Xenopus tropicalis: one gene and its partners. The protein of the gene in region 2 purifies or fractionates together with the protein of the main gene of each other region. This does not show direct contact. Links are inferred from orthologs where the notes say so. Each region holds a gene or a part of one and is shown on either strand. Other genes may lie near its edges.

What was found. The genes of interacting proteins can lie anywhere in the genome.
Region 1: the proteins of polr2j (region 2) and uri1 purify together in Homo sapiens (affinity purification with mass spectrometry; 4 studies listed by BioGRID and IntAct, with this or other methods). This does not show direct contact. The link is inferred for Xenopus tropicalis from reciprocal best matches to the Homo sapiens genes POLR2J and URI1.
Region 3: the proteins of polr2j (region 2) and med19 purify together in Homo sapiens (affinity purification with mass spectrometry; 3 studies listed by BioGRID and IntAct, with this or other methods). This does not show direct contact. The link is inferred for Xenopus tropicalis from reciprocal best matches to the Homo sapiens genes POLR2J and MED19.

The regions. Positions count from the first base shown.
Region 1 is NC_030680.2:71,279,330-71,283,563, forward strand, and holds the start of uri1 (unconventional prefoldin RPB5 interactor 1), read right to left. Parts: upstream 2,813-4,234; 5' UTR 2,669-2,812; coding exon 2,594-2,668; intron 1-2,593. UniProt on the Homo sapiens protein: Involved in gene transcription regulation. Acts as a transcriptional repressor in concert with the corepressor UXT to regulate androgen receptor (AR) transcription.
Region 2 is NC_030678.2:94,648,872-94,652,369, reverse strand, and holds the end of polr2j (DNA-directed RNA polymerase II subunit RPB11-a), read left to right. Parts: coding exon 1-108; intron 109-2,806; coding exon 2,807-2,842; 3' UTR 2,843-2,986; downstream 2,987-3,498. UniProt on the Homo sapiens protein: Core component of RNA polymerase II (Pol II), a DNA-dependent RNA polymerase which synthesizes mRNA precursors and many functional non-coding RNAs using the four ribonucleoside triphosphates as substrates.
Region 3 is NC_030683.2:55,852,969-55,857,125, reverse strand, and holds the start of med19 (mediator of RNA polymerase II transcription subunit 19), read right to left. Parts: upstream 2,813-4,157; 5' UTR 2,726-2,812; coding exon 2,482-2,725; intron 1-2,481. Other genes in the region: tmx2 (thioredoxin-related transmembrane protein 2 precursor), read left to right, coding at 3,081-3,269. UniProt on the Homo sapiens protein: Component of the Mediator complex, a coactivator involved in the regulated transcription of nearly all RNA polymerase II-dependent genes.

The DNA.
Region 1 (4,234 bases), on a different chromosome or scaffold from region 2:
AGAACATGCTCAGGGCTGCTGTCAGTCACCTTTTGCTTAGGGACTGATTCACAATGCACAGTATATTGTGAATTCTAGTTTGTTAATATAAAGCATATTTGTAATTAATTATATTCACAATAAATGTCACTATAGAAACCAATGTGTTCTGCATTGAGAAATGGTTATTAATCAGCTACTATGACCTACATTTCTGTGCAGCACAAATGTGGATTTCTGTGCAGGATTCTGCTGGAGAAGCTCTATTAATGGATGTGTTTTTTGGGAGAAAAAAAAAAAACATGACAATATTCCTTTAGTCCTCCTTTAAGGCTCACTACAAATTACTTTTTACATGTATTCTGGATTTCTTTCTAGATTATGCATTTGTCTCCACTCCTGTGGGTCCATGCTTTTAGGGCAAAATTAGATAACTATATTGATGGGCAATGGGACACATAATACTGTACCAGAAGACAAATGCATGTACAGAAAAAGTGGGCATAAATTTTAAAGGCAAAAACATATATGTGCCATTTGACATTTGTCATAACTACATAAATGACTTATTCGATACACATACAGTGACAAATGCACTAAAAACAAAAAAAGTCTGTGCAACAGTGCACAGTGTGATACACAGTGAGAAATCAGAAAATTTCTAATTCTGCTTTGTAATATCGTAATAGGATTATTAGCCCTAACTCTACAGATGATGCAATACAAGCAAAAATTACTAGTTATACCAATATGTTAGCCCATAGGAACCCAAATAAGGGCTTTGGTATTCTACATCCAGTAAACTGATTCAATGAGCGAACTGATCAACAGCAACGTTTTACTGAACCAATGCACACTTGCCCTATGTCAGTAAATAAACCCCAGCCTGTGTTCTTGTGTTACCAGAGGGTAAGAAGACTTGAGAATCGGAATCATCCAAAACTCCTTCTTAAAATACCTCAGTCTATACTTTGTACTTAGAGATTTAAAGCTCTTAGCTTCTAATCAGAAGCTTGGAAGAATGTCATATTCAGCATTATATAAGCTTATAATTCTTTGCAAATTAACCCTTTTGTCTTGCTGCACTGCATGTGCACCAGTACAAAATATGCTCAGTCATTGTGCTTACAGCCCACCAAATTTACAATATGTTAAAAATATGCAAAACTTGCTCACTCCTTCCATTAGGAACACTATGCTCACATCCTTCCTAGGCTAGCTCTTCAGTTTTCTAATTGTAGGCAAAGGATTCAGGTACAAGCTTTCAGCATGGATTATTAAAGGGATAACAATACGGGTGAAGATACAAGGAGCTATTAGTAGCAGCTACAAAAATAGACAGTGCTGATCATTTACTGATAATTGTCTCTACGTGTGTGTTAGAAGAGGCAATTCTCAGTATTATCTATGGTATGGTATTTTCTGGAGTTTAGTAGCCATTACAAGTAGCTGCTACTAAGTAGCTCCATGTGTCTTCACCCTTACACAGCTTCAATGAACACTGTAGAGTCCAAGATAACTATATTATTGCCTCTTTGCTCTCAACTACGATTCCAGTAATACTAGTAAGTGAACTGCTAAGCAGAGGAACTGACCTGGTTAGGATGAGAAGAGGTAAAAGGAGCCAAATTGTCCTTTACATTGCAAGACATGAAGTGTGAGGCCTTCTGAGAACAGAAGGTATTTACATGCCTCATGCCATACCAATAGCACTGCCTATGACATTTAGACTGTTCCTGCTACAAGAGGTACTCTGGTGTTTGCATTAATAGCTGGCACAGCATTACTGCTCAAAAAAGGTGCAAGTCCTGCCACTTTTAAGACAACTGCAATTTTATAAGATAACAAGCTTTATTTACTGAATTGTTGTCAATTTTATGCCCAATGTAACTTTTATTTCTTATGGAGCACAACACTGAATTTGAGTCAACTCAAAGGTCACAGTGGTACATTATGCTTAGCAAAGTCAACCGGCTGAGTTAGATCATGGCTGTGCATACTGTAGCCCTCCTGTTAAAAAGATGCTGGAAGCGTCTCACTGCCTGACCCTAACTTATAAACAGGGTACCTGTCAAATGTGCACAGACATGACAGAGTACTGTGTTCCCTATGGGATTAAGCATTTACACCTTAACATTTTCAGATTTTATGGCAGCGCCAATGGTAATACTAAGCTGCATATTCTGGTGCAAGTGGAACTTATATAACTTTCAGTAGCTGTACATCCTGCTCAATAACATACATCCTCCTTTATTTGTTTTGCTTCTCAGTTTCCTGTGCTACCTTCCTGATGGCCAATGCTCAGCCCTGTGTCATAATGGCCCTGTGTCATAATGCCCAAATATAGTCCATTTTGTACAAAACAATGGGCTCCGACTAGTCTAAAAGTTACAGTGATAAAAAGCAAATGAGTGATGTGCTGCTAAGTGGTTTATTCCAACTGTGTGCTCTTCTCTTTGCTGGGGAACAAGCCCATACTGTCTATATTAACCATGGTACAGGCTGCCCTAAGCCCGCTGGGCGCACTTGTACCCTAGTGCATAAGCGCTCTGCCCTGGCTGGCTTATGCTCTGCCACATTCACATGTGTAACATGGCACTCGTCCTCTGTTTACCTTTCCATGCTCTTCCTGAAGTCTGGCCACATCACTGGAGCTCAGCAGTTTCGTACCCTCCCTTATCTCTTCCATGCTTTCCGTCCGTCGCAAACCCCTTTGCCCCGGAACTCGGGAACCGACCGTGGTCCCACCTTCTCGGGCCCCGACTCTGAGAGTCCCACTCGCATGAGCCACTCAGGCACGGAAGGAAATTCACCTCAAACTCTCGCGAGCATGAGACCTGGGAAATCTCGTAACTAGGAAGCAAATGCACGTGGGGACTGTACGTTTCCAAGGAGGAAAGCTTTCATCAGCCTGACTCTGCTACTGTGTTACTGTGATACTGTTTTACTGTGTTACTGTGATACTGTGTTACTGTGTTACTGTGTTACTGTGATACTGTTTTACTGTGTTACTGTGATACTGTGATACTGTGATACTGTGTTACTGTGTTACTGTGTTACTGTGTTACTGTGATACTGTGTTACTGTGCTACTGTGTTACTGTGCTACTGTGTTACTGTGATACTGTGTTACTGTGTTACTGTGTTACTGTGATACTGTGATACTGTGTTACTGTGTTACTGTGATACTGTGATGATACTGTGTTACTGTGTTACTGTGTTACTGTGATACTGTGATACTGTGTTACTGTGTTACTGTGCTACTGTGCTACTGTGTTACTGTGTTACTGTGCTACTGTGCTACTGTGCTACTGTGCTACTGTGTTACTGTGTTACTGTGTTACTGTGATACTGTGTTACTGTGATACTGTGATACTGTGTTACTGTGATACTGTGCTACTGTGATGATACTGTGCTACTGTGCTACTGTGTTTCTGTGCTACTGTGATACTGTGCTACTGTGCTACTGTGCTACTGTGTTACTGTGATACTGTGATACTGTACTACTGTCTGTGTTACTGTGCTACTGTGTTACTGTACTACTGTCTGTGTTAAACTGTGCTACTCTCGTACTGTGTTTCTGTGCTACTGTATTACTGTGATACTGTGTTAGCACCTGCTGCGTGTGTCACGTCTGCAACTGTTAACTTCACTCCCACATTCCCACATGTAAATGTCAGTACATACTCTGTATTCTTACTGGATCATTAGCATGCTCAGCTGCAGTCTACAGTGCGTTGAGCCAATCACCAATGCTATTTGGGATGTTCAGATGTTCCTCGTGTTATTAACATTTAGTAAATTATAGCTGGACCTCTATTAAGTAACCTTTTAATTAGACTTATTTTTTGTGTATTTGTTTTATATTTAGCATTCAATATTTTTCATCTTTCCAGTCAAAAAATCATTTGGCCTTTATGGCGCTTTTGACCCCAAGCATCTCAAAACAGATCAACAGATTCATTGTATTATGATTTTTATAATTTATTAATTTTTTAGGTCCACTATTATTGATCTATTCTGTCTTCTAATCTGTTGCCTAGTTGCTTGGGTATATAACCTCTAGCAACCAGATAGCAGTTAGTATTCCGAGCCTGAGAGTTGCAAAGCAAAAAATTTAAATATTTCAGAAAGCATAAAAAATAAAGGCTAATAGCAAATTGTCTTAGAATACTGATATCTACATCAGTTTATTTCAAGGTAATGAATAAAACTATAGGCTGGCTCTCTGTGGTTGCAAAAGTGGCATATTGCAT
Region 2 (3,498 bases):
ATTATCATAAGAGTTCAGACAACACCAGACTACAGCCCCCAAGAGGCATTTACCAATGCAATCACAGACTTGATAAGTGAGCTGTCCCTTTTAGAGGAAAGATTTCGGGTATGTATAAAATCCATTTTTCCTGTTTATGCTTTCAAAAAACCCCAAATTTTTTCCCAAAATGTTTGAACAAAATGCTAAGCATTTAATTCTGTTACAAGATATATGCATTCAAGTATATAAAAAATGGGGGGAAAAAAAAACAGGTGTGAGTGCAGAGCACAGGAAGGCATAAAAGACTACTGCTTTTAATTTATTTAACAAACAACTTATAGAATATGTAAACCTTAAAAAATGAATGTAAATTGCTCTGGGTCCTTCTAAACACTTTTCCAATTTACAATATTATTTTCCTTTTCCAATTTATTAAAATAATATTGTCATGGGAAAACATGTTTGTTTGTTCTTTTTCTTTCAGAACACATCAGTAGAGCTTCTCCAGCAGAACCCTGCATTGAAATCCGTTTTTCAAAAACAGAAACAGAATTTATTTTTAATTTTGAAATTTCACATGGGGCTAGCCATATTCTGCATTTCCCAGAGTGACACAACCATGTGACCTGTGCTCTGATAAACTTCCGTCACACTTTACTGCTGAGCTGCAAGTTGGAGTGATATCACCCCCCTCCCAGCAGCCGATCAGCAGAACAATGGGAAGTTAGCAAGATAGCAGCTCCCAGTAGATATCAGAATAGCACTCAATAGTAAGAAATCAGAGTCCTGCTAGGAATCCTCCAGTTACATGGTAGTAGGAGAAACAATATACAGTATCTGAAAGCAGTTCTAAGGGCTGTGACACACAGGGAGATTAGTCCTGCCGGTGGGATGGCATTGCGGGGAGATTAGTCGCCCGTGACAACGGAGATTTGTTGCGGCGGGACTAATCTCCCCGTGTGTCACGGCCCGAACTGCTTTCAGATGTATTGTTTCTTCTACTCCCATGTAACACAGAGCTACTAGCAGCAGCAACTTCTTAATGGCTACTAGGCTCCAAAAAATACCCTGCCATAGGCAATACTGAGAATTGCCTCAGCTAAAACACACGAAGAGACAGTTATCAGTTAATGATCAGCTGCAACTAGTAGCTCCGTGTGTCTTCACCCAAATGTGTAGCGCTGGCTCCTTCTGGAAGCTCACACCCAGGCACAATGCATTGAAATGGCTGCCTACCCACCAATATTACAGCTAAAAAAATACTTTTGATGATTCAAGAATGGCAGAGTGAATTATTTGCTATGTAAACAGTGTAATTTAGCAATAAAAAGTAAACCATAAAAATCATGACAGAATCCCTTTAAGCTGTTTTTAAACTGCTATTATTCATTTTGCAACACATTTTCACTTACTAGTCAGTTTTCAGAAGAAAAACAGTGAACTCTTCTGATATTGCTCTGCTCAGGAAAGGGATAGGAATAGCTTTCTCACCCCTTTCCTAAACAGAGCAACATCAAAACAGTTTTCAGTTTCCTTCTGAAATTTTACACAACTGTAAAGTAATGTAAGATTAATGTAAATTGCAAAAGGGCTTAATAGACTGAATGCAACTGATTTTGATATCCTATTTATTTTGATTATACCCAAGTATACATAGGGGTCAGACTGCTTTCTGACCAGGCCCGGACTAGCAATCTGTAGATTCTGGCAAATGCCAGAGAGGCTGCTGTAAGATGCCATAGACAGTCACTATTTATTGGGCTGGTGGGGGCTGTTTAGGCATCTGTGTACTTGAAATGCCTGGGCCTATTTTAAATCCCAGATCATACCTGTTTTTGACTACATTTAAATTTCAAGTTAGGAGAATGCAGAACAGAAGGCCAACCTACTAAAACACTACAGCAGTAAAGACCCACTGCAACTGTCATAGGATATATATGTCTTTTTATCATGCTTAAAAGTGGATCCTAGAAAAAAATGTCCTCTCTAATAATGGTTAAAGGGGTTGGTCACCTTTAAATTAACTTTTAGAATCTTACAGAATGGTCAATTCTAAACACTTTTTCAATTGGACTTCATTATTCATTCTTTATAGTTTCTTAATTATGTGCTGCCTTCTTGACTATTTCTGGCTTTAAAATGGGGTCACTGACCCAGGCAGACAAGAAACTGTTGCTCTGTGAGGCTACAATTTTATTGTTATTATTACTTTTTATTACTTATCTTTCTATTCACGCCCTCCACTATTTATATTCCAGTCTCTTATTCAAACCACTCCCTGGTTGCTAAGGTAATTTGGACCATATCAACCAGAGAGCTGCTAATATTCCAAACTGGAGAGCTTCTGAACAAAGTGAAATCATTAAAAAAAAACAAATAGAGGAAAAAAAAGACCAATTGCAAATTGTCTTATAATAGTACTCTTTATATCATACTAAAAGTCAACTCAAAGGTGAACAACCCCTTTACGTGTCCGTCCACATCACTTCTTTATTATGTTTTTCTAACATAAATATTGGAAGGTGCTTTGTGGATTAGTTTAGCATGATTAAATTGAGCATATAGTATTCTCAAGGACCTTGGTACACCACACTTAATTTTGTGACAAATGGTCACTGAATATCAATATTCTTATGATTTCATATTAAGTCCCATAATGCTCACACTACCATACAAACTTATTTGCAATGAGGATATATTATTTAAACTACTGGTAAGCACTATATATAATAAAGAATTGTTGCTTCCTGATATATGAATGTAAACCTGAATTCACAAGTAATACTTATATGCTATTATATATAATATTTATATCTGTTTACAGGTGGCTATTAAAGACAAGCAAGAAGGAATTGAATGAGCCAAATCTATGGAAGGAAGAGCTATCCTTTTTGTTCTGACATTTTTGTAGGGAGCAGTCATGTAGAGCCAGCTGGTTATTGTATTTTTTTTGTATGTGTGGATAATATACACTTTTATAAATAAAATTGTTTGACTTATGTAATAACTTTTGTTTGCAGTTTCTTTCCAGAAAAGGTAGGAAAAATCTACTCTTCTCTAGAATCAAATATCCTACTAACCCTTCAAATTAGTAAATGCAGTGGAGACATAGTATTTGCCATTCATGTCCCTTTTTACTGTGTATAATGCAGAAACAGTATGATTAAAACTAGTGCCACCATAATTATTTTTGTTTGGATTGCACTTAATTAATCATTGATGTCCAGGAGCATTTAAAGTGGCCATACACTATACCTCAGCAAATGAGCAGATCGTTACGCCAATATGCACATCTAAGGTGGGCGATATCAGAGTAAACCAATCATTTGGCTTGAGGGGAATAGGATGGGAATAAGAACCTGCCAGATATCAGTCAGGTAGGCCCATCGGGGGTCCCCATACACAGGCAGATAGCTGCCAATCTGGGCTGTAATCTGCCGTGTAAGGCCATCTTTTCAACACTAGATCAATTAAACAGTTGTTACTTTGTATGCAGATGCTATATACACAGGTACC
Region 3 (4,157 bases), on a different chromosome or scaffold from region 2:
TTGGCCCTGGGGCCAAACGATCGAATTAAAATGGCAGAAAAGTCTGTCCGGGGACCGCATCAACAAGCCAATGCGGTCCCCGATCCAACTAGATTTTCTAACCTGCCCGATCGAGATCTGCCCGATTTCAGGCCAGATATCGGCCGGGCAGGCCCATTGGGAGTGCCCATACATGGCCCGATTAGCTGCCGAATCGCTCCAAGGGACCGATATCGGCAGCTACCTTAAGAAAGGTTGGGGACCCCTGCTCAAGATTCACAAAACGCTTCCTTTATTCTTGTGCGTTTACTGTCACAGTATTCCTTTCTTGGCCTTATAATTTACAGCCTACAGCTACTACAATGCATACCTCTCTGCAAACAACAGAAACTTAACTGTGGTGCACAGAGATGATGAAGGTGAGGGGACCTAAGATTCAGGATATGTGGAAAGGCCTAAATCAGGGGTGGCCAGACTTTTTGACTGGGGAATGCGTAAGTGCGTACATACGCATTCACGCAGCACTTCCGCATCTCTGGCTTTGTCGCAGTCCACCAGAAATCCAGGGGGGATCGACCGGTGGACCGCAATCGACATATTGGCAACCCCTGGCCTAAATGAACGCTGGGATGACAAGTGCTACAGAAGAGACACACCTACTTTCAGATTCTGAAAATGCCTGGTTTGAAAAACAATTAGAAATGAGAAATAAGTGTTTTACATTAAAAATTAATGCAGTTTGGTACAGGTGATTTTGTATTTATTTGAATTATAACAGTGAGAAAGATGGAAGGGTTTATAGCTCATGACAGTTCTCTTTTAAGTGTTATGGGGGGCATTATACATGAACTTGGTATTGCACTTATATACAGGTAGGGGATTCCTTATCCGGAAATTTCCAATTACATAAAGGCCATCTCCCATAGACTCCATTATAAGCAATTTGTTTTTAAATTATTTCCTTTTTCTCTGTAATAATAAAACAGTACTTGTACTTGATCCCAACTAAGTTAGAATTAATCCTTATTGGAGGCAAAACAATCCTATTGGGTTTATTCAATATTAAAGGATTTTTAGCAGACTTAAGTTATGGAGATCCAAATTACAAAAAGATCCCTTATCCAGACAACACCAGGTCTCAAGCATTCTGGATAACAGGTCCCATGAAGGAAGCACTGCATTTAGTTATTGCTTTGTGTATTAGCAGGCAATAAAACCAGAGTTTGTTTGCGGTCAAAGTGTATTATAACAGTGGGTGTGGCTTATAATTCTGGGCAGTAGTGATGTATGGGCCGGCCCAATACCTGCGGGTCAGCCGGGTTCAAGCTGACCTAGGCACATAATCTGCGGGTTCGGGCCGAGCTTTTCCGCTCGCAACCTTACACTGCCAGCAGCTCTCTTCAGGCTTCTCTATTTATAGGCGCGCTCCCAGAAGGCCTGCCTCTTTTGTGACATCATTGTGGGGCAGGCACGGGTCTCTAAATAGAGCAGGGGTCGGGAACCTTTTTGGCTGAGAGAGCCATAAACACCACATATTTTAAAATGTAATTCTGTGAGAGCCATACAATATGTTTGGCCGCGGATCCTGTGGGTCAAGGTAAGGTGGGTCCCAAGGATGCCTGATGCGGATCCGATGCAGAGGAGGGCGTGGCCTGCGCTCGGTGGATAGAAGACGTGTTCTAAGGTTTAGAACACGTCTTCTATCCACCGAGCACAGTCCACGCCCCCCATTATTTTTTTTATTAAAGATTTGGCAGCGAGCCAGATGCAGCCATCAAAAGAGCCACATCTGGCTCCCGAGCCATAGGTTCCCTACCCCTGAAATAGAGGAAGGAAGCTGGGTCTGGCTCCACTTTTTTCCACTTTAATTTAAGCACTTAATGTAAGTTCAAGTCATCATATTTGACACCAAATACACATATTTAGAAAAAGAAAGACAAATAATAATAAGTTTACCACACAAAAGGTGTAGTAATAAGCAACTCTTTGAGATGGTTTTTGAATCACATTGGATAACGCTAGCAGAAAAGGGCAGGATCCAAATGAAATGGCAGGTAAAAAACCCAGTGGACCCAGCCAACCCAGAAACAATGCACTGGCGCTCCCCCAATTGGCACTCCCTGGGGTGCCAGTTTGAGTGCCAACCCAATAGGTCTGGCACAGCCCAGTCCGATGTTGGAAAAGGGTATCTACAAAAATGCTATTAATAATTAAAATGTTTCCTCTTCTAATGACTAAATGTAAATCCCTTGTAGATGCTTAAAATAGACTGACATACAAAAAAAAAGAAGATTCAAGATTCTTAGTAAAATCGTGTTGCGTTTACCAGCCCAGACATGGATTTAGCCATCAGAAGGCAAAACAACATGTCAGCAAGACCACAGACACCATTCTCCTGATGCTCCAGCAAGACAAGGCCCAGCGGTTCAGATTTTGCCACATAGCAGACATTTAGCACACGTTTAGTACGGGTCCTATGCACCCATGCTTGTTAACACTCACCTGGAAGTTCACCAAGAATATAGAAGGGCCCCGCTGCAGGTCTTCGGGAGCTATCCTCTCCAGAAGAACTAGAAGAAAGTGGCGGAGGGATCGGCAGCGGAGGACCAGGTACTGTTGGAGTTGAAGTCTGTGTCTTTCCTGACACAAACGCACCAGTACATGTTGGAACAACAGAGGGGGGCCCTGGAGCAGAAGGGATAGATGAGGGCTCAGAAGCTGCAAATAGACCAGAAAATCCCTCCATTACTTTGCAACTGAAACCAACCACATCAGCCCTTCTACTATTCAACCAATGAACCTAAACCTTATGTTAAGCCCCTCCTAAACGTTTAAGCGTCATTGAAGAGACGAATATGAACGTCACTTCCACATACCAGCCTATCGCATGTGCTGTTTGTGCTTGCTTGCTATCAATTGGTTAAACGCCTGACACTACTCCTTCTGGATTAGCTGTTGTCTATTTCCGGATTTACGTCCTACTGTGCTGATCTTTATTGGCTGTTTTTTTGTTGGGTTGGACCTCACTCTTTTTAGCAGTTCGATATAGTTAATGTAATTGGATGAGTCTCCTTCCCAGATAATCAGCGTTACTTGTGGCAATGGCTGTGCTTGCACCCCTTCTCGCGTTTTTATATGCAGTTCCTGGGCTTTTGCGCTGGGTATCGCAGCCCTATTACCTTCTTTCTGCGTTATTGTCTGTATCTTTTCTTCTGGTTAGAAAGGTACCCCCGGTGTGTAGCGTCTTACCAACACAGCGTGAGGACGGAAATCCATGCGACTTTGATTGGGTATGTACTTTCAAGGTGACTCTTACATTGAATGGTTTAATGCATCGAAAACTGTTATATCATGAATTTCCATGTTTCTTCAGATTTGTTCTATTATAATTATCATGCCTGAAATGCTGAGAATGATGGCTTTTTATTAGTGGTATTTTACGTACATTCTGATTGAAAAGTGATTTATTGCTGAATTTTGATGTATTTGGTTTGTACATTTAAGGGTCAGATATGATTGATCTACTTAATTGTTTGATAGGCCGAAAAAGCTGATAAAACCTTACGTAAGTGTTTCGTTTTTCATCCTTTGAACTCTGCGTATAGTCCTCTAAAATGTATTTAATTAGGACCCTGAGATGTAGAGGCGGACAAGCATAATGGCTGAGGTTATAGCCCCTAACTGGATGACTGTTTATGGCTAACATTTGAAAGCCTAGTATAACACTAGTAAACACTTTTTTTTTTTTTTTTTTACCAATAATAAGTTAATCTCCATGCAGTATGGTTTGCAGGTTAATAAATCTATGTTTCAAGTAGGGGCTGATACCTCATTGCAGGGTCATAGATAAAGACATATATATCTTGTATTTATTTACAAATGCACAATAGAAACACTTGGCATGGATCAATTCTTCGCCTTCCTGTTAATAGAACGTGCACATTGAGTACCTAATGGACCCCTACTACCCGGAGCAAACCTGCAATCTCTGATCAGGAGATTATTAAACTACAGGGGTCGAGGGGTGTTGGGGTCTTTTTTGGGACTTAGTTTTGTTTTTTCCCATTTTTTTTCCCCTTCATACCTTGCAACGGACCTACAACTCTTGCCACAGCCAAGTTTATTTATTTACAAGGTCCTTTTCCATTATGGTTTGCCTAGTGCAGTACTATTAAAGG